Linked DNA regions of Alligator mississippiensis. The protein of the gene in region 3 interacts with the protein of the main gene of each other region in a pairwise test. Links are inferred from orthologs where the notes say so. Each region holds a gene or a part of one and is shown on either strand. Other genes may lie near its edges.

Region 1 (7,161 bases), on a different chromosome or scaffold from region 3:
CTTTAATCCAAGATGTTTCCAATACAACAAAGCTGTCTGCCTTTAACTAGACAAGATTAAAGGTTTCCTGTAAAGGGACTTGAAGAATGGGGCATGTGCTTTTTTGACTTTGGTGTCAAAAGGCAGCCTGAATGAGTTTGATTTCCCCGCCACCCCCTAAGGTACAGAAAACAGAACTTATCTTCCCAAAAAGTTGAGGGACTGCTAATAAGCAGGAAGTAACCTTCCCTGAAAGGAAGGAATAGTGACTCCTAAGCTTCTGTCTTTCTCTAAAGTGTTAGATAGTGGTGTACTTCCACTTCACCTACCAACTGAAGTGTTGAACTCACTGCATGTGTTCTCACTCATTGGATAAATGAATAAATGATGTAAGGCCACATACTATACCTTTTCATTACAGAAGCAAAATAAGTGAAACCTCATTTTACACTTGACAGTACATGTCCTGTAATGTGCTGGAAATTAAAGATGCTGACCGATATACAGTAGCAGTCTAAACACACAGGAAAGTTACCAAGCATTTAATAGTTGGCCCACGTGTAGTTTTACAAGCACATGCTATATTACAGAGGGAGGTAGGAGTCCAACAAGCAGAAGTTGTTGCAAGGGTGTCGAAACAACCAAGCAGACTGGTGAAAGGTCAAGATGCCAGTTTGTGCACTGCTACAGTGATGCCATCGTGCTTCTTGATCATGATGTTCCTGAAACAGCAAATATTTAAACAGTTAGAATTTTCCAAGACTAGTAGCTCATCTCAAAACCAGTGCTAGAAATGCCTTTAGGTTTAGCATATGCCGTGGCGTGTCAGAGGCAAGATTACACATAAGATCTAATGAAAGAAATACTTGGCTTGCCATCTTTACTAATTACATCATTGTAGGATACATAACATTTCCAAGAGTCTCCTTGCAATTCAAAGTTTGGAAGTACCTTGGAGTGTTTAGGTGGGCTGTGAAGGCAAGTCTGTCTACCTAACTTCCTTTGTAAAAATTGATTATAAACAGGAACATAAGCACCATAGCATTGCTTCGGTAGTCATAAATACAATGCAAAAGTGACACTAGCTGGTCATTCTAACCACTTCCAAAAAGCCAGCAGTACAGTTAGAAACAGGAATGGGGGGTGCATCTCAAATGAGCATCCAGTGATTGTAAGGACACATGGGTCTCTCGCAGTCTCAGAAGATGCTCATTTGAGACCCCCCCCCCCCCCCCCAATTCCTAACAAACAATCCCTGGATAAACTCAAGAGAAAGGACAGGAACAGTCTCTCGATGTTCCCTTGGCGCAGGCCCTGCAGGAGGTGCCTCTCGCCCTGTACCTCCTTCCAAGCGGCGACACACAAAACTTAAAAGCCACCTGGAGATGAAGGAGGCAGTTCTAAGATCCCAGTCCCAGAAGCGTTCGAGCAAACCAAGGAGGAAAAATAAAAAAAAAACAGCAACAAGGATGGACACCCAGACACTCACCCATGATCCGATTCCAGACACACCACAGGGATATCAGTGGGGTCTGAAGTTAACTTGGCTGCCTGCTGAGCCAGAACTGAGATCACCCCTGCGTGTTCATCAGAAAGCGTCCCGCGACCTGCAGGGCACGAGAGAGATCTGTATCCAAGTTCACCAAAACAAGTGTCTCGACAGCAATCGCCAATCACACCTGCTTTGTACTTCAGCCGAATGTCTTCCCGAACTCGGCCGTCTTCCGCAACATCTCAAGGACACCCAAAATGATCTGAGAGCTGCTTAAAGAAGTGCTGGCCAACGCGCCCACGCTCCCCCTCCCCCACCTGAGTTGGGTCTGAAGATACTTGTGCTTTAGTAGGGTCAGATCTCCTGGGAGATGCAGGTGCTCGGGCTAGAAGCAGGATGCCAAACGGAGCGAGCCCGCGGGGCTGGTGCTGGGTCTGGGGCGGGGTTTCCCTGCCCAGCACGGGGCTGGCGGGCAGGGCAAGCATCTGCCCCCTGGCACGAGCCAGGCGCCTTATGGAAACGGGGGGGGGGGGGTACTCACAGCCCAGGTTCAGCCCTTGCGAGTCCGTGCACAGCACGCCCACGACGGACGGGTTCTTCATCCTGCGGGGCAAAGCCACAGCTCGGTCACTCGCCCGGCCCCGACCCGCCTCGCCCCCGGCCCCGGCCCCGGCCCCGCACGCACGTGTCCTCCAGGTGCTGCTCCAGGGCCCCCTCCATGGCGCCACAGGCTCGGTCACTTCCGCCCCGCTCAGCTGCCGCCCGTCACGTGATAAGCGCTGGAGCTGCCGGACGGGTGCTGCGGAGCCTCAAGATTCCCCGTAACGCGAAAGGTGTAGAGGGCGGGATTTGCCAGCCGTGCTGCTGGAACTGAGGCTGGAGCGTGGGAAATGGAGTCCAGCGGACGTGCATGGAGTCGAATGAGGGTGCATTGAGGCAGACCAGTGAGGGGTGCAGTGAATCCAGTGAGGGGTGCACTGAGAGGTGTACTGAGTCCAGAGAGCTGCGCCTCCCCTCCAGGGCTGGGGGTGCCAGGGTTGGGGAGCTGGGGGCGGGGAGCAGCTGACCCCGCTCTGAGGAAGAGGAGCCCAAAAGCTCCGCGCGGCCTGGCTGCCTTCATCCAGGGGCGAAGCCTGTGTAGGCGCCGACTCCGTGGGTGCTCTGGGGCAAAAGCACCCACTGAAAAATATGAGTGGGTGCTCAGCACCCAAGAGCCACAGCCATTTCCTGCTTGCCGATGTTAAAAAGGACCCCAGCCCCCCACGCTTTACCGAAAGAGGTAGCATGTTACTTCAACCCGGCTCTGCAGCATCAGTAAAGACTGAGCGCTTCAGCAGGGCGTTTTGACACTTGTAGCTAAAGCCAATTCAATCAGCTATTAGATACAAAAAGCGCCACTAAAGTGCCCAGTCTTCATCGATGTTGCAGAGCCGGGTTGAAGTAATGCTGCGTTGCCTCTTCTGGGCTCAGCACAGGAACGCGCCGAGTTTAAAGTGAATTACCATTTTGTTTTGCTATGGCTGCAAGCGTCCACCGGCAAAACCCAAAGTTGGTGCCTATGCAGGGCCATCAAACTGCACCCAGGTTGCCGCCCAGGCTGTGGCCTTGATTCACAGCTGAATCAGAGCCGTGACTCCTCACTTCCTTGAGTCCTTGTTCTGCATCCTAGGATAAGCTGCTGTACTGCAATGGGGGGAGGGGGGGCAGGGGACTGTGTTAGACAACAGGAAGTTTTCTTTCTCCTGGTCACTGCTTTGCACCAGGGAATAACACATGAGTGCTTTGCTTTCCTCTGCAGCAGTGGCTCTGAACACTTGCTTGGCCCTGGAAAAGCAACCGCCGTTGTCCAAGCTGCCAGTGCCACCTTTACATCCCCACCCAACTCCCCTTTAGATCCCATGTAAGTCGTCTCCCCAGGACATGGCAGCTATTTGTTACTGTCTACTTTTTAATTAGCTGTGTGACAGAGGAATAGGCACAGTACAGAAGGGACGTGGCTGTGGCCCTTCCTGTATTCCCCACTGGAGGGCACTAAATCCACATCCTGCACCAGCACATTGTGCATCATTTGCACAATATCCACAGCTGGCATGTAGGCGATCATATCCAGTGCGCAGCCCAGCCTGACTTTCAGCCCAAACACCAGTGCTCCTGTGGCTGGAAGTGTGCACCCAGAGAAATCCAGTCCATGAAGACCTTTCCAAGCACAGCAGGCTGGCAGTGGGCAGCACCAACACAAGCATGTCCAAGCTAAGAGCAGTTTCCACGCCATGCGCAGATTCATGGCTGCTCCAGAAGGGAGTAGCACATGTGTGCTGTTTGCAGGGCAAGCCATCTAAGCCCTCAGCCAGCCAGAAGTAGCTCAGAAATGACTGGACTCTGAGATCCCTCAGCAGAAAAAGATGAGATGAGGGATGTGCCTTCTGAGTCTCTCCCCCATGCCAATCCTCTGTTATCCTACATACTGTGTCATCACTCAGTGACACTGCTGTAAGGTGGGCGTAAAATGCTGCAAGGTCATGTTTTACGTTTGCTGGCGTTGATGACGCGAGTTATGTGGTGATGGTGAATCAGATCCAGAATCTATAGAGCTGGGCTTAGGTGCTTTATTGCATTACATCCTTCCTGCTGACATAGCTTTACGTAGCTGCCGGGGAAGTTGCCAGCATAACTGTCACCTAAGAGGTGTGATCATTTCACGCTCCCTACGCAACGTGGCTTTGAATAGCTGCAGTGCTAAGCAGACCTGAAGCTGTACAGGTGTAGATCCGAACTGAGACCCTTGCTGCTTGTTGTTCTGCTAATAATACATATGTGAAGGCTTGGAATGAGGTGTGTTAAAGAAACCCCCCAACAGGTTCGCATGAAAAACTCATGCGTGATGAATTGCCATGACTTGTTAGGTCTCCCGAGCATGGACATGAACAGGAACACACACACACACACACACTCTATCCTTTTCAGAAACCTTTCGGTGGGTGGCTAAATAAATCATATTCAGGGTTATTAGGTTGGTGCTGTTGCTTGTGCTTATAGAGGCTTCAGCTCCTGAAAGATGCAGATGAGCCACAAGGGCTTCCTCGCATGCTTCCCTGCAACTCAGGGGCAGGCAATTATCTTGGGCAGAGGGCCGCTTACTGAGTTTTGGCAAGCCATCGAGGGCCACATGACAGCCCAGGGCAGATTAATATTAATTTTCTAAATTTTTTTAGGGGCCCCGCGGGTTGGATAGAATGGCCTGGCAGGCTGCATCCGGCCCCCAGGCCACATTTTGCCCACCCCTGCTGTAACTCTTACTCGCCCAGCACAGCATCTCGCTCCATGTGAAGCCTGTTCAAATCGATGGGCCACATCCCCCCCTGCACTGCTTCAAGTGCCCGCATCTGGAAGGCCATTCAGGGTATATCTACATTGGAGTCAAGGGGTGACTGTAGCTCACATACATACATGAGCAGATGTGTATGTGTATATATATATATATATATATATATATATATATATATATATGTGTGTGTGTGTGTGTGTGTGTGTGTGTATACATATATGTGTATATATATATATATACAGTACACATACACATATCTGAACTAGCTTTTACCTAGCTGGTCAGGGTGCTGCTAACAGGTTACTCACAGCAGAACAGCAGAGATTCATTCAGGATCCTGGGTAAATACTCAGGCAGCTAGTCTCTGCTGAGCTCCATGCTGCCGAGGCCACACTATTTTCATCACCCGAGGCAGCTAACTCACCCCCTTTATGCTGAATTATTTCTCAGTGCACAAAACTAATGCAGGCCTGCTGATTTGAGTGGTTCGTCGAGGGGATTGTGCATCCGAACTCTTGGGTTCTCCTCCCTGTTCCAGAACAGGGTGTGTTGGGTCATCAGAGCCAGTTACTTCTGCCCTGTGCTTTCCCCATCTGTAAAGTGAGGATAATGATGGCCATCTCTTTTGTAAAATGCCTTGAAATCTATGGGAGGAAAGTCCCCTGCGAGAGCAAGGTGTCTTTATTATTATGACTGGCTCTAGACTCAGAGCTTATTCCAGGCTCTGCTGCTGATTTACCATGTAGCATTAAATCTGCTGTTTTACCCCTCCATGCCTCAGTTTCCCCCCAGCTCTGAAAGAAGCATGGCTAATTGACCTTGTAAAGTGCTTTGAGATTAATGGACAAGAGGCAGAGACCTGGCTGCAACCTGTCTCTTCCTGCATAGATGACAGGCACACCAGAGCACAGTGAGGTTTGGCCTCCTCTTGCAGCAGGTAGTTGGTTACAAGCATTAAAGGATGTGGGGGGAGAAGGCAGGGAAGAGGCAGGACGTGAAGTGTTTGATTCCCCCTTTGGGCAAGAAACCAGGGCCTTGAATCCAAAGACAGAAGTAATATGGTCAAATCCAGGGAAAAGCCAGTGTGGCCTGGATTTGGGCAACATCTTATCATGCAGACCCTGGGCCCAGCAGAGAGGTCCCAGTGCTTTGAAAGGGATACTACCCTCTCCCTTGGTGAGATGAAGGATGTGACACTCCAGCACCCTTCTTCCACGCCCCCTGCACAGCCCCAGCTGGTCAGTCCCAGGTTCCCTATGTAACAATTTGAATTGCATGTCAGGTCCTGTATATTAAATCAAATGGGACATCAATTCTGGGGCATCAGCACTCGCTCCCTGATGAGAAAGTCAGAAGCAAGGAGACTAATGTCCCTCTTGATATTTCGCACTGCCAGCAGGGAGGCGAGCTGAGTATAATCCCATCTGTCAGAGCAGCACAGGGCCTGATTGGGAGGCAGAGTGAATTACCTGGAGAGAGGGAAGTTTGTCATTCTGTGGATGCGGAGATATGAAACAGAGACAAAGGTCCTCCATCACGCCAGAGAGCTGCAGCAGGGCACATGGCATGCCTGACCACGCAGAATGGGTCCCTGAGCCCCCAGGATCCCTTGGTGCACATGCTTGTACACAGCAAGGACTCACTGCACGCACCTACTCCATCATTGCCTCACAGACCTACACACCTGCGCACAACAGGTGCTCATACGCCATACACAATGCACGCATGCACAAACCCCCACACACAAACACTCTATCCTCATCTCACAGACACACACACCAGCACACCACAGGCACTTACAGTACACACATGTGGGCATGCTCCAGCTTCACTTCACAGATGCACACACCTGTACATGACAGGCACCCACATTCCACACACACACACACACTATCCTCATCTCACAGGCGCACATACTTGCTTACAACAGGTGCCCTCATTCTTTACACAACACACACGTGCATACACACACACACTCCATCCTTACCTCGCAGGCATGCACACTTGCACACAACATGCACTCACATGCCATACACGACACAAACACACACACACTCCATCCTCATCTCACAGACACACACGTCTGCACATGACAGGTCCTCACACTGCATACGCCATACACCTCATCCTGCCCACACACAGATGTGCACCCATCTACATGTTACAGGCATTTGCTGCATACACAAGCACTCCATCCTGACCACAAAGACACACGCATTACAGGCATGGACTCTGTGGGTTTTGCCTTCTCCAGGTATGGGCCATGCTGCTTTTCCTAGGATCTCATGAGCATGCACCTGTGTAGTGGCAGGACATTAGCTACTCCCTTGCCTTAACCTGCTTTTTTACCTCTGGTGTTCTTGGC
Region 2 (7,103 bases), on a different chromosome or scaffold from region 3:
TGCCCTTTTCACGTACGTGTATGCTTCGTCATAGCGTCCCTGCACATCCAGCGCGGTCGCCAAGTCGCTCATCAGGATCAGCGTCTGCACCAAGACAGCAAGGAAAGCATTAGTGCAGGGAACAGAACAGTGGCACAGAGCATTTGCCCTTGTGGCAAGAGTGACAGACTCCTCTGCAAGATGACAACAGTGCTGGCTCGCCCACATGGACCATTTTCATGCTCAGGCTTCGGCTGCCTGAGCAGAGCCTGATCCTGGAACCCGGCCCCAAGGGGAGCAGGCCCAGCTCCAAGGCAATCCCGTTGTGAGCACACGTCCCTTGATCGCAGCCGTTGGTCCCAGCTAACCTGTGGATGGGTCTCTCCCTGGATGTCCCTGGAGATCTGCAGGGCTTTCTCATACATTATTTGGGCCACAGCTGGCTGGTTGCGGGTGAGGAGGTAGCGGCCGTAGGAGTCCAGGCATAATCCAAGCAGGAGGCGGGTGTTGGCTTTTTCCTTTGCTGCAAGCGGAACAGAGATGAGTTGAGGTACTGCCCCTTGCTCCCAGGGAAATACTGAGTACAAGACTTGTCAGCCAAGAGTGGGAGGGGGTCTGGGCACCAAGGCAGGCAGTGGCTGGAAGGCATTAGGCAAGGAAGTGCATGGCAGGCACAGCACCACGCTGGCCACAGCGAGCACCTAGGAGCTGCCTACCAGGGAGGACGTCTTCAGGCAAGTCCTTCTGCGTGGCTGTTTTCTCCTCCAGGGTCAGGATGCAGAACTTGTAGCCTGTGATAGCCTGCTGGTCTCTGCATAGCAGAGGGGGGAAAAAAGTCAGCCTTTGGCAAAGCAAGTCCACCCCCCACTCGGAGCAGCACGTCCCAATCTCATCCCCGCCCCCACTGAGACCCCAGAAAGGCGTCACGGCTCTGGGCAAACAGCACCTGCTCCCAGCTTCAGCCCCTAACACCGCGCACCAGCTCTGGGTCAGCTCAGCTAATTGGTGAAGGGCTCCAGGACCCCTGGAGATAGCGTTGCAGGGCAGGTGTGCTCTACTGCTTGGCTCCGATCCTAACTGCTAAAACCCAAGTCCCTCTGGCCTGCGCACATTCAGTGCGTTAGTCTCTTTGAAGTCACCTTCTGCAGGGACTCCTCCTCCGGTGACTGCAGTTGGGGCTGGCCTGCTGCCCAGGCCCAGCAGCCAGAGAGAGGCCCAGCCTGCTGTCATGAGACCGAGGCCATCACGGCCTCTGAAGCCAGAGTTGAAGCTTCCCCCTGAGCTGTGCCAGCAGCAACCTCCTTCCCAGGGGCCAGACTCTCCCTGGACCCAAACCATCACGGACGCCTCGGAGCCCCTGAATAGGGCAGGCTGCAGCCCGGGGCGCGTACTCACTGGTTCTGAGCAGCGTAGATACTGGCCAGCTTGAGCGACATCTCGATGATCGCGTTGTCATCCTGCCAGGGGAGAAGCCAGAGGGGCATGGACACGGCAGCCAGGGCGTTCGGGATCACGCCTATAGGGCATAGGCCAAGGTCGCGTCCTGCACGAGGCAGGGGCACAGCTTCCGGCAGTGGACACTGCTGGAGCGGGGGCGGAGGTTGCTGCGGGCCCAGCACAGGCAGCTTGCAGGCTCTACAGGGAGAGGGACCAGTCCACGGGCTGCGGAAGAGGCTGCAGGTTTGTCTGCCCCAAGAGAGGTAGGGATGGGGGCGGTAGCCATGTCCCTATACGGAGCAGGAAACCGTGCGGCGGGCGGCAGGGGACTCACCTGCTTAGTGTCCCCAGCCAGCAAGAGGCTTATCACTGCTTTGAAGAGTTTCTCCGCCTGCAACGAGAGGAGGTGCGCGGTGAGGAGCCAGCTCTGGGCTCGTCGGGGTGGGGAGGGGTGCTGAAGTCTCCGGTCCCCGCACGGACTCGTTTTGCACTCCCGCCCCGGAGGGCTTCACTCACGCTGTCCAGCTGCCCCTGCAGCAGCGCCAGATTCGCCATCTAGGAGAGAGGCAGACGGGCGCTGAGAGCCGCCCCGTGCCGCGGGCGCCCCTGCAGCGAGCGGGGGGGGGGGGTACGGTACCATGGCGTAGGTGTAGACGACGGCCTGCCTGTGCTCCGACTGCTGGGCCAGGTGCGCCGCGCGGTGCAGGAGCCGCTCCGCCTCCTCCAGGTCGCCCGCCGCCACGCGCAGCTGCGAACGCACACCGGCACCGCGGCAGCTCGCGCGGCCTCGTCCCCACCACCTGCACCTGCCCCAGCCCCAGGGCGCCCGCCCGCCCCGCCCCGCCCCCGCTTCCCACCTTGGCTTCCTTCAGCAGGATTATCACAGCGTCCTCGGCCCCTGCGCCCGCCTCGCCGGCGTCCTCCGAGAACAGGGGGAACGCTGCAGGGAGGCGTGCGCTGGACACGGAGCAGTGCCAGGCCCCCCATTCCCACCCCTGTACCCCCCGCCGCCCCCTGCCCTCCCCGTGCCCCCGCCGCGCTCACCGGCCAGCAGACCCAGGCCCAGGCCCGGCGCCCCCCGCCGCGCCCCCCGGCCCCGGCCCGCGGCCCAGGTGACGGCGGCGCCCGCGCGGGGACAGCGCCGCCCGGCGGCCGCCGCGAGCCGCGCCAGGGCCCGGGGCAGTGCCGCCAGCATCGCCCCGCGCTGCCCCTTTAACAGCGGGAGCACGTGACGGCGCACGTCACCTCCGGCGCGGTGGAGGCGGAAGTGCCCCCCCCCGGGGTGACGCGGGCGGTTGCTATGGTGCCGGGCCGGCGGGATGCAGCGGGCTGAGCCGGCGGCTGCAGCCCCGCCAGACGGTAAGTACGCCGCGGCGCTATCCCGGCGTGCCTTGCGGGCCCAGGGGAGGGGCGCTTCCCTGCATGCATTGCGGCCCGGGGGCGGGCGGGCGGGCTGGTGCTTCCCTGCATGCATGGCGGGCCGCGCAAGATGGCGGGACGGCTGTTGAGGGCGGGGTGGAGCTGCCCTTTCCCAGCATGCATTGCAGGCCTAAGGGAACGGCTGAGCCCCTCTGTGGAGCGGGGAGCATATCCCAGCATGCATTGCAGCGTGAGCAAGATGGCGGGTCCGGCGCGCGGATGACGCGGGGGGGGGGCTAGGCTCCCATTTCCCAGCATCCATTGCGGGCCCAGGGCTAAGACCAGTCCAGCGTGCTGCGCCTGTTTCCCAGCCGGCATTGCACGCCCAATGCATTTCCCAGCATGCACTGTAGGAAAATGTTGCGCTAGTGTGAGCTCTGGCCCCTGGAAGGTAGCATTTCTCAGCATGCCGTGGGGTTGCTGGGGGTGGTGCAGGAGTCGTTTCCCAGCATGCATTGCGGGGCCAGCACAGTGCCCTGTCCAGCATTTGTGCATGCCCATGAGGGTGGCAGTTCCCAGCATGCATTGCGGACGCAATCCGGTCGGCTGTCTGTACCCCTGAGGAGAGTGCTTCCCAGCATGCATTGGAGGCCCAGGGACAAGGCTGAACCTCTGCGTGCACACGTGTGTGTGTGTGTGTGTGTGTGTGTGTGTGTGCGCGCGCGCGCGCACAGGGGGGCATATCCCAGCATGCACTGCTTGCACAGGACGGCTGGTGCGGCCTGCTCTGTGCCCTTTTGGAGATGTCCTGGGGTCTGGCGCAGTGTCATAGAGGCAGCATGTCCCAGCATGCTTTGCACCCCTTGAAGGCGCCCTCATGTCCCAGCATGCATTGCTCCAGCTTGATTCAAGGACGTTCTGGTGCCCGGCTGTAGGGTGCCAGAGCGCAGTGCGGTCACGTCAGCGTGCACAAGGTCACGGTCCCAGGCTCTGCTGCAACTATTATAAGCCCCCTTTTGTCGTCCCCTGGGCAAACGCGCAGCGTCCTGAAATAACTCGGATTCATTCTCTCTGCTCCCCGGGGAAAGGCTCATAGCTCTGGTTTGTCTTTCGGAGCAGCCAGGCCAAAAGACACCGGCTGTTCCTTGTTGTGCTTCTGACTGCTCAGGCAACTGGGCCCAACTCGGAGTCACTTCCCCGTGTGCACCCCCAGGCGTGTTGTGCAGATTGCATTACAGGGCTGCGGGGGGGAAAAGGCATTGGGAGAGAGCTGCTGCCTGCAGCAGGCAGGCTCCTCCTGGCAGAGAGGGGTGCTGCAGGCGGGTCTGCCTCCAGCCCGCGCCTGGGGGGGAGTCGTGGTCCAGCACCGCGCAGGGCCTGCCAGGAGGGCCGAGGAGCTTGTGGGCTTGGCTGCCGGCCGGAGTCCCGGGCTGTCGGGGCGGGCGGGGGCAGGGCTCCTTGGGGCGGAGGGGCCAGGCCCAGGACAGCAGGCTCCTGCCTCAGACGGGGCTGGAGGAGGGGGCTGCAGGTGGGTCTGCCTCCAGCCCGCGCCCGGCGGGGGGCCGTGGTCCAGCACCGGGTAGGGCCTGCCAGGAGGGCCGAGGAGCTCGTGGCCACCCCCGGGTGGGGAGCACTGCACCGCAGCTCGGCCCAGCGTGGAGTGGGGTGCTGCCGCCCCGGGGTGCAGGCTGGGCCGGGCCGGGCAGGGCAGGGAGCTCCCCTCACCGAGCGGAGCCGAGCCCGGCAAGCCCTGCCTCTGCCCGGGGCAAGCACCCCCGGAGCTGGCGGGGTGCAGCGCGCCACGGGTCCGGGGGTCCCCGTCCCCCCCGCCTGAGAGGGAGGGCCCGGCTGCCGGCAGGAGTCCCGGGCTGTCGGGGCAGGCGGAGGGGCCAGGCCCAGGACAGCAGGCTCCTGCCTCGCATGGGGCTGGAGGAGGGGGCTGCAGGCGGGTCGTGGTCCAGCACCGGCCTGGGCCTGCCAGGAGGGCCGAGGAGCTCGTGGCCACCACCGGACGGGGAGCGCCGCTCCCCCGGGCTCAGGCGTGCCCCAGCTGGCGCAAGGCTCTGCCCCAGTGCAGGGCGCAGGAGGGTGTCCCACAGCGGGGGCCGCTGGCCGGCCCCTCGCGCCGCTCCTGCGCCTTCGCCCAGCACAAGCTCCTTGGGGCAGTGAGCGGGCTCGCAGGCGCGGCGCTGGCACCCCTCTCCCAGGACACCAGAGGTGCTTCCCCCCACCCCCCAAGGGCTGCAACCCCTGGGGTGCTGGTCTGCGTTTTGCCCAGTGGCCGCCCGGCTCAGGGCCCTTTGCCTTTTGGGGCCCCGGTGGCAGCTCCGCAGCTCGACCTCGGTCTGAGCCAGGCCCTGGGGACGGTCTTTGGGCAGACAGCCTTCCCTCGGTCCCCACATAGCCGTGCTCTGCAGGGCCACTGATGGCTGCCAGCAGAGGTCTTCCCGAGAGCCGGGGGGCCGGGGCACAGTGCTGCGAAGCAGGGGCAGGGGGTCCGGATTCCCTTGTGGCTGGAGGCCTCTGAGCCCCCCCTTCTCTGCACCCCCTTAGCCATGCTCGCCGGGGAGCTGGGACCCCGCGGCGGTCCCTGCTGAGCAGCCGGAGAAGACCTGTCCGCACAGGTCAGGGGCACATGCTGCACGGCCTTGCTTTATCCCAACAGCTCCCAGGGCCGTAAACAGAGTCCGAGGTCTCCAGACTGGAGTATGAACAAGCAAGTCTTCTCCGGCTTGGCAAATATGATGGCCCTTGGCCTGCAGCGGCTGGGCAAGCACCGCTGGGGGAAGCAAGAGTGAGAGCTGGGCCCAGAGGATGCCGGCCCTGTGCAGCATCAAACCCACGGGCCCTGCCTGTAAAGGACGGGGCCTTGACCCCCAGGTCACAAGCCAGGCCGGGCCCGCCGCCTTCCCGGGGCTCCCTTTGTAGTGGGCCCAGCGCGTGTCCGCAGGGAAAGAGTCAAGGGGCCCGGACGTGAAGGGCTCCCCAGCCTGGTCCTGTGGTGCACAGCGCTGGGCCTCTCAGTGTGGGTGCTGAGGTCCTGGGTTCAGGTCCCGGCCTCTCCCTGTTTTGCAGGGAGGTGCCTTTCTCTTCCAGTGGCGGGGCCCGGGCGCTGCGCCTCAAGGGGCCCACGGCCGGAATAGCTCTCAGCCTTCCCCAGTAGTCTGGTGGTAAGGGTGCCACCCTAGGTGGCAAAGGTGCTGGGTTCAATCCCTGCCCTGGCTGGAGCTCTCGGGGCCCCTCGCCTCTCAGTGAGTCCCCTGGTGCCTGTGGCCAGGTGCCTGCAAGGAGGCTGTGCTGGGTTGTGGGGAGGTCTGTGGGGGGGAGGGGGTCTGGCAGAGAAGCTGAAATGAACCTGTGGTTGAGGAGAGGGGTTTTTTTTTGCACTTTGAAGCCCAGCCCCAAAACCAAGGCAAAAAAAAACCCGGCGAGCCACCGGGTGGTTCAGGACATTTTCCAACTGAGCTGCGAATTCAAGTCCCCTCCGACTGGCAACCGCGATCACCCCTGAGCTCCAGCTAGTAGGCAAGCGCCGGAGGGGGAAACGGTTGCGTAGTAGATGGCGGCCAGGGGACTCAAGCCTTCAGGGACTTGAACCCGCAGCCCCTGCCACCGCTGACAGTGTCCTGAACCACCCTGCCAAAGGGCCAACCTGACAGCCCCCCTTCCCGCTGGTCTCTTCACTCGCCTCGCCGCCTGCCCCGCAAGCAAATAGGCACCAGGCGGCCGCCCCAGGCCTTAAAAGAGTCAAGGTGCCCGCATCCGGACTCGAACCCACAACCCCAAGGTAGCGCTCCACCACCGTGCGCCACCACCCAGCTCTGGCAACCCCCCTCCTCCTGGCCCCTTGACCCGCCGCCTCCACCTGGCACTGAGCACCTCACAAGGGAGCCCCGGGGCAGCCAGCCCCCCCACAGGGCCCCGGGGGCAGCGGCACAGGCTGTGGGGCCGCACGGCCTGCTTTGACCCCGCTGGGGCACGGCCTCTGCACGTCTGGGTCGGCTGCTGCGGGGGGCTTCCCCGCACGGGTGGGCTCGCCTCCCCTCCCCTCCCCTCCCTGCCCGGGCAGGGCCCTTCTTGTCTCCCGCTCGGGGACCCAGGCGGCTCCTGCTGCTAAAACCTGGAGCAAGGACCAGCGCCGCCTGCGTGCACCCGGGCCCGGGCCCGGCTGGGGGCAACAAGAGGGGTCCCGGGGCAGGCGGCCGCCCCGCGCTCACCGGCTCCGCTGTGTCTGCCCTGGGGAGACAGTTGTGTGCGGGGCTGGAAGGACCCCCAGCTCCAGCCCAGCCCGGACAAGGGTTTCCTTCTCTTGTCCGGCCTCCGCACCC
Region 3 (6,959 bases):
TGCTGGGTTGTCAGTCTGTGATGCACATCCCCCAGTGGGGTGCTGTAGCCAGCAGTGGGAGTTTGCTTTCTTCCTTCATCTCTGAGTGAAGTCAGTTCTAGGGGTTGAGTTTCTCCCTGGAAGCCAGGTGTGTGTGTAGGCTAAGACTGCTGGCCCAGTGGCTGGCTTGTATGCTGAGACTAGGATGGTCCATATAGTAAACACAAGCAAGACACACCAAGGAACTACTCAGAGTCCACCTTGCTGATTCCTCCCCCCAGTGGCAGGAAGGAGGTGGCAGAGTCTCAACATTTGCTGCTGTTCAGCTAAGGGGGAGGGGGTCAGGTTCCCCAGGGGAAGTTCTGGGTTCCCCACTCCTAAGACACCCATGTCCTGCCTCTGTGCATGAAGTCCCAGTGGCAAAGGGGCCAGTTGCTGGAAGTGTTTGCCTGGCCTGCCTGGGTTTTGATCCTTCTGGGGTGTGTCCCCAACCCAGAGCAGGTCCCACAGTGAAACAGAAGGACTCACTCAGCCTTTTCTTATTTTATTATTCAATGAGACTCATAGAATGTGATCCTGGATGGAAACAGGGGAAAACAATGAACAACAGAGACATGTGCAGCAGGTTCCTCCCCAGAATCAAAAGCTGCTGGAAGGAGCACCAAGCTCACTCACTTTCTGCCCTCTGGAGCCTCTCTCCTTAGTGCTGCAGTGAGCCCTGTATCCCAGCTCACCCCTACCTCTGAACCCTTTGACCTCCTCCAGTACCCTTAGCTACCCCACCCTACGGCAGTAAAAGCAGCCTCTGTTCTGCCCAGGGGAATTCACTCCATCCAAAAGAAAGGCTCCAGTTTAGGAAGGGGAAGGTGATCCTAGTGACACAGCAGGTCAGGAGCACAGCAGGGAAAAGGAGTCCTATCAGCCTCTCCAACTACTGGACAGCACACCCTTCCCAACAGCCACTCACTCTCTTCTGACTCAGGCACCTGCTCTAGCCATTAGCCTGTATTGCCTTCACCAGGCTGAGACTAGAACCCAAGGGTCCCAATTCCCAGCTTCCCCCGGCTCCAGATACCAACACACACTCCTCTCACTGTCCAGGCTTGCAATCAACTGCTCCAAACACTAGCCCTCACCTAGCTGGGGGCCCAAGAGCAGTAATGTCTCTTGGAAAGGTCCCCTGCTCCATGAAGCTAAATCTATCAGCCATTGTGACAGCTGATTGACAACCCCTCCAGGAAGACAGTCTTTAAAGAGACAGCCTGATTATATGAGCAATCATTGGCATGCAAGGTGTCAGACAAACTTGGCATGGTCCCTGCCCCAAAGAGCATACAGTCTAACTCAACAAGCCTAATGCAGCCATGGCATAGCCTCACTGAGCTCACACTAGGGATGGATTTGCCCCACAACGGGCCTGTCTAATAACCATGTGTCCCAGCACACTAGGGCGTGTGGGAATTTCTCATGCAGAGGGAGCCATAAACTGGGAAAACAGAGCCCTAAAGGAAAGTCTATGTACCAGATCCTCAGCCCCTTTGGGCCTCCTGGGACAGGGAGCGGGACAGGGAGCGGGGCAGGCCACCCTTGCCAAAGCTGGGCCGGCTGGGTGGGATGACAGGAGGCAGCTCCTTGGTGATCTCGGCCACGGCCGTCTTGTCTGGGCAAAGCCCATTGGCCTGGGTACCCCTGGCCAGCGCCGCCTCGAAGTCCAGCATATCATGCAGCTGGGGAGGGGTGGCCATCCGCTCGGCCTTGGCACTCAGGTCTGTTGGCATGAAGATGGGCAGGGGCAGGACCTGCTGGGATGGCAGGTGGTACTGGGCCAGGGGTTCACCCAGGCGGCCCAGCCGTAGCACCTGCCAAGGTGACCGCTGCACCACGATGCGCGTCTCCTGCTGCTGCCAGAATGTCTCCTTGTGCTGGTCATCCACCTCCTGCCGGGAGCAGCTGAGGGGAGGGGGCAGCATTAGGGAGCTGTGGGCACAGCCCAGCGGGGCATGCCCCCCCCCCCCCCCCCACACACACACACTTCCCCAAGCCAGGGAGCCCAGACAAGTCCCAGGACCCAAAGTGGTGACTGTCAGTGCCAGGGAAGGAGCAGACACTTAGATCCTTTCTGCCCCCAGCTGAGCAGGTGGCAGAGCTGTGCTGGGGCAGGGAGATGGGGCCAAACTGGATATGACCCTCCCCATTCCCCCTCCCACTTGGGAGGTGGTGCACCTCCTGGAGTGGGGAGAGGCCAAAGGCCTGCCAAGGAACAAGGGGAAAGAGGCAGACACAGGGGGATGGGCTGGGGGAGATGCTGAGCACTGGGCACTGCTCTGCCCAGGGGCCATGACCCTCTGCCTGTGACTATCTGGGCACCTTGGAGGGGCTGAGGCAGGGCCACACATTGCTCCAGGACCCTTGGCCCCATTTCCACAAAGGGTCCCAGGCTTCCCTTCAGCCCTGTTGGCAAGATGCCTTTGGCCAAGAAGGGGCTGCAGCAATGCTGGTGCCCACCCCCCAAACCTGGGGAGCCTGCTTCATCATCATCACTCACCCCTCTTCGGGCCTGGTGGAGAGCGACAGGTCCTTCCACTCGGCCTGGAAGGACTCCTTCCGTCCCATGTCCTCCTCCTGCACCAGGCAGCCCAGCTCAGCTGCCGACAGCAGCCCTGCACTACGCAGCACCACGCTCTTGCCAAACATGGCTGTGTCCAGAGCCGGCTCCTCTGGCAGGTGTGTGTGTGCCTCAGCCTGTGGGATTTGGCTGCCCAGGCTGGGCATATATAGCCTCCCCACTGCTATTTCAGGAGGTGTCACTGGCACAGCATGTACATGTTGCATGGACTGAAGCCAAGGCCCCCTTGGCACGAGCAGGTGCTTGGGGGAAATGTGTGATGATGCATGCCTGCATATGTGTGTGTGTGTGTGCATGTGGCTGTGTGTGTGTCACACTGGTCTGTGGGAAGATTCCAGCAAGTTCCTGCTCCTAGACATTTTCTCTGCACCTCTCCTATCCCATGAGTTGGGGTAGACAGCAGTCCCACATGGGTCCCTTCCCTCCAGCAGGGCTGGAGCATGGACCAGGGATGTCCTCACTGCCTGGCACTCACTGACCCCTTGATGCCATCCATCAGGAACACCTGGGTTAGCCCAGAACACCAGCCATTCTGTTAACAGCCCTGCTTGACCCCAGGCCCAGACCCCACTCACTCCCAGGCCCAGTGTTGCCCTAGCTGCCCAGGATTTCTGCTTTCCACTGCCCTGGCACAGGCCATCCATGGGGCAGATCCCAGCTCCTCCCTCAACACCAAAATGGGAGTGCAAACAATGTTTGTCAGGAGAAGATGCTTGATCCCCGTAACCCTGTCTGCCCCTGTCACTCCCCTCACAGGTCAAAGCCATCAGGCTGCCATGTCCAAACCCCAACCAAGGTTGGGAGGACAGTGTGAAAGCAGTGCATGTGAATGAATGCTGGAGGGTGCAGGGCAGCTGTTGCTGCACTTGTGCTTCCAAAATCCCCTTTGATCCCATGGACTGCAGGCTGATCCCTATGGAAATGCACCCACTGACTGGCCCAGCCCATCAGCTGATTTTCCATTCATGGGGTAAAAGAATTCCAAGACCTGCCTGAAAGCCTGATTATATAACAAGGCCACTGGCTGGCCCTTTCCCTACAAAGTGGTGCTAAATTACATCCCATCCCCTGTGCAGAGGCAGCTGCCACCTCAATTCCAGGCTCTTCCCTCAGAGGTCCCCAGGGAACAATGCTGAGCACATCAGCAGTGCAACTGGCAGCCATCCATTTCAGCCCTAGGCTTTCTGGTCAAGAGTGGGGCCCATGCAGAACCTACTGCCATAAGGTAAACCCTGCCCGTAAGCACACACATGACCATGTGCACCTGCCTGTGGAGGGAGAGGTGGAACTGGGACAGGCTGGCAGGGTGCTGGCATGGTGGGATCTCAGTTCATGCATCCTCCACATTCCCCCAGCCTGTCCCTGCTGTTAATAAGAAGCAAGGGCATTGAGAGCTGAGCTCCATGGTGCTGAGCCAAGTAAAAGTCCCACAGCTCAGCAGCTGGATGGAGCAGCACCTGGGCTCATACTCACAGGGGCCATTCAGCTCCTGGCCACTACATGAAGAGCCCCGTGCCCAGCTCTGACATGCGGGGGGTGGGGGTGGAACTAGGAGCCAGAGGGGTTGTGGCAAGGACAGGCCAGCTAATGCACCTTGTTAAGCAGGACCGGACTGGAGCTGAGGGCCATCTGTAGCTGAGCTGGGTCAGGCACAGTGTCACATTGACCACAGGGCTGGGGAACATGATAAGCACCCAGCTGAGCAGACTCTGCCTCTTCTCAATTCCCAGTGCCCTCAGGAAGGACCCCTTTGCCAAGTGGTTGGTGCCCAGCCTGGCCTCATCTGCCCCCTCCACCTCCTCCTGATCTCACAGCTGCTTTGTGGCCCAAGGGCTGCGGCCCAGCCTGCTTCCCGAGGCTCTTGCCCACAGCATGAATGACTTTTCTCAGGCCAGGGGGGGCAAGCTGCTGTTTGTGATCTCAACTGGCTGCCTTCCAGATAGTGTCCCCCCTTCCCTTGCCAAAATAGAGGACCCCCCCCCCCCCCCCATTGCTGCTAAACCAAGCAGGCAATGCCCCCCCAACACACACTGCCCTCATCACAGAGACCTATAGCAGAGCTGTGTAGAATGCCCCCCCAATCCCCCGCGCAATCCAGCCACAGCCTAGTAAGGGAGTCTTTTGCTTTGAAACTCTAGTTGCATTGGCAGCAATCGAGGGAGATGAGGGGACAGTAAACAAACTGATTTAGAGACTTGTTAACTGCTAACAGGTCCCTGGAGCCAAGATGAGTGGGGTGGGGGGTGGAGTGTACGGAGAGGGGGCAGGCTGATTAGAACTGAGCCCATCTAAATCCCCTGGTTCGGAGACATCAACTGATGCCAGCCTATAGCGTTGCTGCCAGCTCTGGCTGCCCCTCTGGTTCCATTTGCTCCTGGGCCTTTTCTGTGGCTAATCCCTGTTGGGCTCCAGTGAGAGGAAATGTGAAGGGATGGGGGGTAGGAAGGCGAGCTTTTTCCAGGCTCTTTATGCACATGGGCAGTGGATGGCTCCAATACCCTCTTTGAACCCTCACAGCTGAGGTTTACTGACAAGATACAACAGGTGTGGGAAATATAGCAAAGGGGGTATCAGAGGCAGGACGGCTGTACTGCAAAGCTCTATAGCCCCAGAAGAGGAGAGTAGGCAGACACCTGGGTCGGCCGGAAAGGGCATGGACTGAGCTGGGAGGCGGACTGAACCCAGAACAGCCTTGGCATAACTTTGGTGGGGAAGGACACAAACCAGGGCCAGAAGATTCAAGGAGCTGCCTTAGTAAGAAATGGCAGAGTTGGGGCAGATGGGTGGAGGGCAAGAGAAGGCGGCTGGGAAAGGACTGTCATGGTAGAGGTAGAGGTAGGGACAGGTGATTGATTTGGCATCTAAAAAAGCCATGAGTTCCCCTGGAGAAATGATGAAAAACTCAGGAATAAAACCCCCAGGGATTATTTTCCTGGTGTGAACAGCAGACCTGGGGAACCAGCAAACCTTACCACTTTAGGTAGCTTAATAGAACAGTGCCTGCCTCCACCTTGTCCAGTTCAATACATGTACCAGCCCTTAGTCCAGCTGCAGTCACCTATCCTACTTCATGGGTGTGACTGTCCCTTGCAGGTAACACCTATCATTATGCTTCAGGAATGGGGCAAGGCCTCCTGCAAGCTGCAGGTCACTGGCAGAACGACCTCTCCCATATAAGAGCAGAGTCTCCACCTCTGCTCCCAGTAACACCAGTACAAGTCACTACAGGCCGTTTTGGCTTGGACTGGGGCTGCTGACTGCTGATAACCCAAAGAATCAACACCAACAAGAAAGGAAGGTTCAAAGCTTTTATCCGGTCACTGCTGCACCCTGGCTAAGATGTTCTTCACTTCCAAAACAGCTATTGACAGCCAGCTGGCTCATTCCACCCCAGAAGTAGCTGCATTTCAGTGCTAGCAGGGGCCAGGAGTGAACCTGTTGCACTGAATTTTTTGACGGGTTTGGCTGTGCTGGAGGAAGGCTGGGTGGGGAGATCCTAACCTTCTCCAACCAACAAGCACCCTGGGCAACCACCTCCCAGTTTCCAAGGAGCTCTCCCACTCTCCAATTTAGCAGGATGGGAAAGTGCAAGGTGGTCATGCTCTTCCCTCCCTCCCCCCCAGCACCTGCTGACTGACAACCACAAAATTGGGATCTGCAGGGCTGGGAGGGGGGATCATTGTGCGGGGGGAATCTGTGCATGGGGAGAGGGCAGGAGAGGGTCTGAGCTGCCATCTGGCCCCTTTGCAGCTGGAGGGGCGCTCACCACTCCTTGCCAGGCACCCTGCCACAGTAGGAGCTGAGGTGACAGCTCTCAGCCTCAGCCATAATGCCCACTGCTGCCCACACACAGGCCTCACTCCATCAGCTTGGCCAGCAGGGTGTCTTCATCCACCTCCTCAGCCATCTCCTCCTCCTCCTCTTCTTCCTCCTCCACCTCCTTGGGCAGCTCAGGCCCTGGGCTTAGCGTCACCAAGATGGCCTCCTCACTGAGGGGCTCCTCCTCACTGTGGGGGGCCTTGTCTTCCTCCAGTGGGTAATAGCGCCGGGCCGCAGAGAGAAAGTCATCACCGACGTCGAGGACAATGAGCCGGTCCTGGAGAGGGCAACACAGCGAGGGTGGCAGAGGTCAGAGCAGGGGCTGCAGGGCACTGTGGAGCCCAGGCAACAGGGGGGCCAAGATCTAACGGGAGCTGGTGGCGGGCAGGGCTGGCTGTATGGGCCCAGCCAGGCTGCCCACAGTGATGACTCGGGATCCCCCTGCACCCCCAAGGGGATTTAGAGCAGGGACGGCAGTGAAGACAGGGTGGTCCCAGCTCCCCCAAGAGTCAGGGCAGGGGGGGTGGAAGCATCA
Region 4 (6,925 bases), on a different chromosome or scaffold from region 3:
CTGAAGAGAGTCCTTTTGTGCTAAAGAGAGAGGACTCCCTGCAACTGTGGGTTCCTTTGTTCTTTTGTTTTCTGGCCAAGGGGCAGTGTCCATTTTGCATGTCTCATACATATCTGACAAAGATTCGACTAACCTGCTGGGTGTGTGGTATCCTTAGCTAGTATTCTTTGTGGTCTAGCTGAGAGTTCCTGCCTGACAAAACAATTTGTAAGATGACTGGTAGCAAGAGGCCTCAATGTCTTGTCGACCTGCTTCTAAAAGTGATATTCAACATAGAACCGTTCCTGTAAAACAGTGATTCCCAACAAGGGTACCATAGCACCCTAGGGATTTGGCAGCAGGGGTGTTGTGACATCCTTTAAAGGGTGCCTAAGGGTGCCGCACAATACACAAGCATCTACACATGATTCACAAGATAAACCCAGAGATTTCAAATAGGAACCTATAGTATCAAAAACATTCTGGCCTTTTGTGGCCTTTCTGAGTTGTTTGCAACAAAAGAGTTGCCTTATTATTTTTCTGTAATAAAAAAAACAAACAGTGAAAACAAGGCTGGCTTTTTTTGAGGGGTGCCTTGAGTCTAACGAGGTTGAGAACCACTGCTATAAACAAGCCCTCACTTGTAATGAAGTCAGTGGAACTGCTTCTGTAAGGAAGGATTATGTGATTGGCACAAGTTACAGGATCAGGTCCACTATTTAGATTTTCTTTCCTAAGCTCTGAGCTCTGCAATCCATTAAGTATCAGCACCCTCCCAACCTATCATTTGATAACAAAAATAACAATGATATTATCCTGTAGATTACTCATGTATGTATATATGCCGTGAGTGACTGTAATTTACGATTAATCTCACTTGTTAGGGTTAACCCATTCTTCTCCTCTAGAATTTTGGCTTTCCCATACATAGCTACACAGCATTGTCATGAACTGTTATTTTTGGCATTTTCAGTCTCTTCTATACAGAAAGTGAGTCCTAAATAAGACTTGATTTCATGAGTTCACATCCTATGCTGACAGGCATGCTTTTTTTAAATATTGATGATTCAATTTATTATGATGCGAGCTGGCTTCCGAATATAATTCAGATGTATTTGTTTTTGCTTCAATTGTCCCTCAGGGCTTTCCAGCAAGTGCCAACATTTTATTAACATAGGAGTACATGCCTGAAGACAAGCTGTGGAACATATGGGTTTGAAAAGTTTATAAGATAAAGTTATGGACCAGATCCTTCTGTCCTAATTCATATGATTAATCAGATTGACTTCCAGAACTCTGTGTCCATGACTAAGTATTACTTATATGAATAAGCACTAGAAGCAAAAGCTCAACACCTACTTGAACACTGCTTTTGGTCAAGTGATATAAAATAAATAAGAGTTGACTTTATTCTACAGTAAACACAGAAGCACGTATGATATGTCATTTTCGCAACAGGATAACTCTACCATCTCCAAAAGCTAAAATAACTAAATATATCCAACAACTTATAAAACAAAGGCAAGAAAGGAAGGGAGAACCTTCCACAATCATAAGCTTCGTCAGCTTGTACTGTCAGCATTCTGCTAAGGATACAAATGAGTATGTTACCTGGTAGACTCCTGCTTATAAATGTCAATGATATTTTCCACCAGAAGGTTCCTTTGAAGTCCATACACACCATGTCTGTCCAGAACTACTTCATGTCTACATGAGGGACATCGAAATCGACCACCTGAAGCCACTGTGGTGCCTCCTCTGGTTGTGAGGTATGGATTGGAGGCCTGTTCTTGCCAAGCAATAAAATTATAGGTGAATAAGGCCATGCACACCTTCTTAAAACACTCTGCAATTGTTCTGGTAATAGCCTTAATGTTCAGAACACAAGACATACATCCAGCCACCCAGAGATGTAGTAACACATCTGTGACAGCCACAAAGCACAGGGCAGCACCACCATTCCAGTGGTGGTGGGGTGTTCAGCTGATGTTGTAGCATGACTATTTTTGCACTGCTGTCCCTCCAAGGCAGTGCTCAGAGCAGCTACCTCAGTCCCCCCCCACCCTCTTATGCTACTGAAGCCCCCTATTTAACGCCTAGTCCAAAACCAGTGAGGTCAATGAAAAGAATCCCATGATTCCAACAAATTTTGGATTAGGCCCAATAATTCTTTACTAACCTAACTGGGGATTTTTGGCTAAAAAACCCAAAAGAAATATGTATGGTAATGTTATTTCACTTGGTGCCTACTGACTAATAATACTGTAGCAATCTGCCTGGAGATACAAAGATAGCAAAAAGATAATAGTTAAACAAACCAATTCATAATTAAATGTATGTAAATGCTGAAAATGAATTTAGTATAAGTAAATAAATGTCAGGAACCCAACAAAATTCAAAAGACAATGGGCCAGATCAGAACAGTTGCCATGGCTCTGTGATCACTGTATGTAAGAAAATCATATAACAATTTATATAGTCCAAACCACAGAGGTCTCTATGCAAAGGAAGCCACACATCAAAGAAGTTTTCTATGTTCTGCTTTTACTTATGCCTTTTTAAACGCTTGCCAATCATTAACAGTAAATAAGCCAATCTTGTAAAATGTTGCTCTTCTCTTTACCTTGAGCAAGTGCTATTTGAACTTAGGCTGGCAGATCTTTATGCTGAAATGAACCTACCTGGAAAATATCGCTGGCGCATTTTCTACACAGGTTATGCTGACAGGGAAGGATGACCACAGGCTTAGAAAACATCTCTAAACAGATGGGGCAAATAAGCTGTTTCTCCAGGTTATCCATGGTTTGCTGCTCTTTGGAAAAGGACTTGTAATTCAAAGAGGTGCTCATCCCTAGCTATTCCAAGGTGCATAAGTTCAGAATAAGGGGGCTACTGGTCAGTTTCCGGGTTAGTTCCCTTGAAATAATTCCAAGGCTCGTGTGATCAAATGTTGTTTGAGTTTCTCTTGCTGGAGGATATTGTTTAAAAGATAGGCTGACGGGAGCTGAGGCTGTTTTTAGCAGCACAGCGTCAGAAGTTGCCATTCTAACTTGTCCATATAAGCAAGTGACATGAGGACAGATTCAGACAGGTGACAGATAACAGGGATGAGAGATCAACATTCCTGTCTCAGAAAGAGAAGGAGGTGGAGGGAGGTGAGAGAGGAGCTGAGGCTTGTCACTGACACATGGCAGCCCTAGCCCACCCCTTAGCAAAGGACAAGTTTTAAACGGTATGGTAAAATGTCATCTAGTTTGTTCTTATCTCTCCATGGCAGTGAAATTGTATGGCCCAAATAACAAAATACTGCTTCCTATTAAAAGAAAAGAATGCCATCAGGAGTAGCAATATACTGTAACAATCATTGCTCAGTTACTAGAAAGTAATGAACAGTATAAACTGAACACACTGCAAATTTACCTAACTGTAGATTTTTTACAATATCTTTACTTGTACATGTTAATAAACTAAAAAAGTCTGACTTTTAGAACAAGAGAAATCAGTGAGATGAAGATGTACTTCCCTTCAGAAAAAAATCAGAACCTAAACATAAAACTTTAAAGAACTAATTAAAAATCACTTGACTAGAATTGTGCTTTAACTTGCAACTGAATTTTAGGAAACTGGAGCATGAGTATTTGGTCCATTTTTTCCAAAGCAGTTAAAGAATGCACAAAAATGTAGCATGGATTCTATTTCCTGATTAAAAGCACACAAAAGAAATATGGAAAGATTTCATTTTTACTGGCAGAGAATAAATGTTAATTGTTCCTGCTTTCCATGGTATAATCCAAATATATTTTAGCTTTGGACAGTGTTGTGTTTATATCTGTTTATTCGACACAGAGATCTCTCAGAACTTGGCACTTGTTCTAAAGTTATTTTTAAAATGACAATTTCCCAGATAATTTCTGGCATGTGCTGCCTGATCTTAGGGCAAAGCCATCTGTGCTTCTATTTGCCAATAATTTAGCACACAACTGTACAAGCAATAAATATCCTGTCCACAAATTTAAACTCAAACCCCCACACATACAGTAAGCAGTTGCTTACTGTCTGCTTCATACTGTACATGTAATATATAATCATCAGTTTTATTTGACTATAAAAGTAATTAGTGCAATATAGAATAATTTACCAGTAATGTACCTTGCAGAAGGGAAGGCCCTTGTGTTTACAGTAGTTAATGCTTGAAAAGTGTTTTGGATAGATAAGTGCAAAACAAGTATCATTAACAAACACTGCATGTGCTTTGGGGAAAGATGGATCTAAATTCAATAGCAAGGTCCTCTGGTTTGTAGGAAGCACCAATTTAGAAATTTGGCAGCGGATTACAGGGATTAAAAGATGGTTATTACTGACTTTCATATGAAAATGAATAATACACTTTGAATGCAATATAATTGACTCACATTAAATTTAGTCTGCTCTTGATTTTCAGTGCGCTGCATATTTTTTCACTGCATGGGTGAAATCCTCATCCCACTGAAATCCGTGAGGACAGGATTTCTCACCCCAGATGTATACATCTGGCAAAGGTCTTGTGCATGTGTGAAATTTGCACAGTTTAACCACATCAGTTTAAAACCAGATTTTGAGTGAAAGTGGGTAAGTTTCTCATGTAGACAAGACCTCAGATGTTGTAAAGGGGAAGCTGTTTGGGCAGCTGAACAGGGAACAGCTGAGATTTCTGGCTCAAAGAGGAGGAGGAGCTGAAGAGAATCTTTTTTTGGCAATAGGGGAGATGCATCTCTTCTTTCTTTTTCATTTGTGGACAGGGGCAGTAATGACTTTAATGCACTGAGGAATGTGAACTCCCTATTTCCTCCCCTGACAGACTTCAATTGCCTTCTCTTCCATGTCCCACCCTTGCACTGCAAGCTAGCTTTAAACCAGAGAGTGAAAGAAAATGGCTTTTGCTCTACTGAGATGACTAGGCATGTACTTCCTCTCTATAAAATAAGGCAGAGAATGGGAAACATCTGAGAAAGAAAGTTGAAGAACAGAAGTGTCAATGTATTGAAATGTCTATACACCACTGAATGGGAGCAAGCTAGCCGAAATGACGGGGCTACTAAATGGTGGAGATTTATGAACCAGTGAGTATAACCAGAATTTGCTTGAATGTCAGTATAACGAAGTGAAAATATTTATAGTAGCAGTAAGCTATAGGTTACCAGTGAAGAATATGAGTATGGAATTCTTCTAGTAGAAATGTAACTATGTGGTTGAGGTTCTGGACAGTATCCCTTTCACGTTGTTAACGAGAATTTCAGCCAAGAGGTCAATGATTAAGGAAATGGACTGACTCCATTTCTGCACCAGGAATCCAAGGATGACCCTTCTGCATATCTTTAGGTGAAATGCATTTAGTTCAGAGTGCATATTTCCACAGGATTCTCTAGCAGTTTCTCCTCCCTAAGATTGGCAGGCTGGCTCTGTGCACAGTGCTGGACTTATGACAAAAATCAGTTATGTAGTAATAGATAAAAGATGGCAGAAACCTGTGCCTATAGCCAGGGTCTACATTACATAGTCTTGCTGGCATCATTACATTTGTTTGGAGTGTGAAAAACCACACCCTTAGCTGACACAGTTCTTTTGTCAGCATAGCTTATCCCATCTGGGAGTAAAGCTGTGTACAGCAATAGGTATAGTAGCAACATCTTTGCAGTATAGGCTGTGACTATTTACCAGGGCCAGCCCTGCTTATTAAAATATCCAGGCTACATCCATCCCAGGAGAACTATGCTACTAGAGGAATTCTGGGATATGACAACAGCAAAACATTCCTATTGTAGACACAGCTTATATTCACCAGCTGAGCTTTGTACCACTAGTTTAGTAAAATGACTTTTTTCCATTTGGGACAAACCAGCCATCCCAGTAAAGCTGAGGTTTTGCCAATGTAGCTTCATCTACACTAGGAACTTGTGATAGCTATAAGTCAGTCAGGGATCACAATCTTCTGTTCACATCCCTGAATGACATGGCTGATGATGACATAGGAGATGTGGTCTCAGGAAGCCTTCCCACTGTACATGTGCCCACTGGTGCTAGGGTTGTGGTAAATGTTGCAAGAGTCTTTCCTCCCAAGGAGCACATGAAGGATGCACCACCTAGTCCACACAACTATCTTCTTCCTCCAGCAGCAAATGGGAGGAGAAGAGGAAGAGCCAGACTTCTGCAGCATTAACTGATGGTCCTGCAATCCATCTCTCTCCCTGCTAGTAGCGTAACTGAGAAGGGTGACCAGGCCTGCAGCCCTGGGAGCGGACTTTGTGGGGAGTGCAAAAATAGCCACCACTCCTGCAATGGCTGACTGTGCCACCACCATTGGAACTACTGCAGCAGGTGCTGCTCTATGCATTGCAGCTGCTCAGGGTGCGGAGCTGCCCTGTCATGCCTCTGCTCCTTGCTAGTGCCTGCCTCATCAGCTTGAATAGAAGAACCAATACCGAGAGGGAGGTTTGAGCCTTTCTGTCCTTCCTGGGTTCTCACTGGTTCCCAGAGGAAACCCATTCCCCTGCCTGACCCTCACAATAGTGAGGGGAGACCACTTGTTGTCATGGTGGAATGGCCTACCTTTTACACATGCCTAAACTTAATGTACATTTGCCTAATGCTCCTTAAACATGGCTAATGTGCCTTAAATCAGCACGTGCAGATGCATCGTGCATTTAACTACCAAGCATCACTCAGATCCCATCGTGACTGGAGCTTGAGGCACTAGTGCAGGAAACAAATAAATACATAATACATTGGTGTTATTTTGGAGGGACAGTGATAACTTAATCATATACATGCCATTATACCTTATATAATCATATACCTGCCGTTACCCAAGGAATGTCATCTGTGTTGCTGACTCATACTGAAAATTACTGAAGAAGCCCTGTTTTGCAGTGTAACAGATATGCTTGCTTTGTTGACATAGCTTTTAATT

What was found.
Region 1: the proteins of TCAP (region 3) and LAMTOR5 interact in binary tests that used the Homo sapiens proteins (3 or more experiments, as listed by UniProt). The link is inferred for Alligator mississippiensis from reciprocal best matches to the Homo sapiens genes TCAP and LAMTOR5.
Region 2: the proteins of TCAP (region 3) and TTC19 interact in binary tests that used the Homo sapiens proteins (3 or more experiments, as listed by UniProt). The link is inferred for Alligator mississippiensis from reciprocal best matches to the Homo sapiens genes TCAP and TTC19.
Region 4: the proteins of TCAP (region 3) and TRIM55 interact in a two-hybrid assay, tested with the Homo sapiens proteins (2 studies listed by BioGRID and IntAct). The link is inferred for Alligator mississippiensis from reciprocal best matches to the Homo sapiens genes TCAP and TRIM55.

The regions. Positions count from the first base shown.
Region 1 is NC_081837.1:34,933,786-34,940,946, forward strand, and holds LAMTOR5 (ragulator complex protein LAMTOR5), read right to left. Parts: upstream 2,263-7,161; 5' UTR 2,192-2,262; coding exon 2,157-2,191; intron 2,075-2,156; coding exon 2,013-2,074; intron 1,587-2,012; coding exon 1,469-1,586; intron 702-1,468; coding exon 641-701; 3' UTR 507-640; downstream 1-506. UniProt on the Homo sapiens protein: As part of the Ragulator complex it is involved in amino acid sensing and activation of mTORC1, a signaling complex promoting cell growth in response to growth factors, energy levels, and amino acids.
Region 2 is NC_081837.1:2,085,455-2,092,557, reverse strand, and holds the start of TTC19 (tetratricopeptide repeat protein 19, mitochondrial), read right to left. Parts: upstream 3,022-7,103; 5' UTR 2,891-3,021; coding exon 2,461-2,890; intron 2,357-2,460; coding exon 2,274-2,356; intron 2,165-2,273; coding exon 2,054-2,164; intron 1,972-2,053; coding exon 1,933-1,971; intron 1,808-1,932; coding exon 1,751-1,807; intron 1,437-1,750; coding exon 1,375-1,436; intron 791-1,374; coding exon 696-790; intron 503-695; coding exon 348-502; intron 85-347; coding exon 1-84. UniProt on the Homo sapiens protein: Required for the preservation of the structural and functional integrity of mitochondrial respiratory complex III by allowing the physiological turnover of the Rieske protein UQCRFS1.
Region 3 is NC_081827.1:165,413,158-165,420,116, forward strand, and holds TCAP (telethonin), read right to left. Parts: upstream 2,745-6,959; 5' UTR 2,674-2,744; coding exon 2,525-2,673; intron 1,930-2,524; coding exon 1,509-1,929; 3' UTR 511-1,508; downstream 1-510. Other genes in the region: melanoregulin, read right to left, coding at 6,462-6,701. UniProt on the Homo sapiens protein: Muscle assembly regulating factor. Mediates the antiparallel assembly of titin (TTN) molecules at the sarcomeric Z-disk.
Region 4 is NC_081826.1:64,419,736-64,426,660, forward strand, and holds the start of TRIM55 (tripartite motif-containing protein 55), read right to left. Parts: upstream 3,021-6,925; 5' UTR 2,829-3,020; coding exon 2,661-2,828; intron 1,764-2,660; coding exon 1,591-1,763; intron 1-1,590. UniProt on the Homo sapiens protein: E3 ubiquitin ligase that plays an important role in regulating cardiac development and contractility, muscle growth, metabolism, and fiber-type differentiation.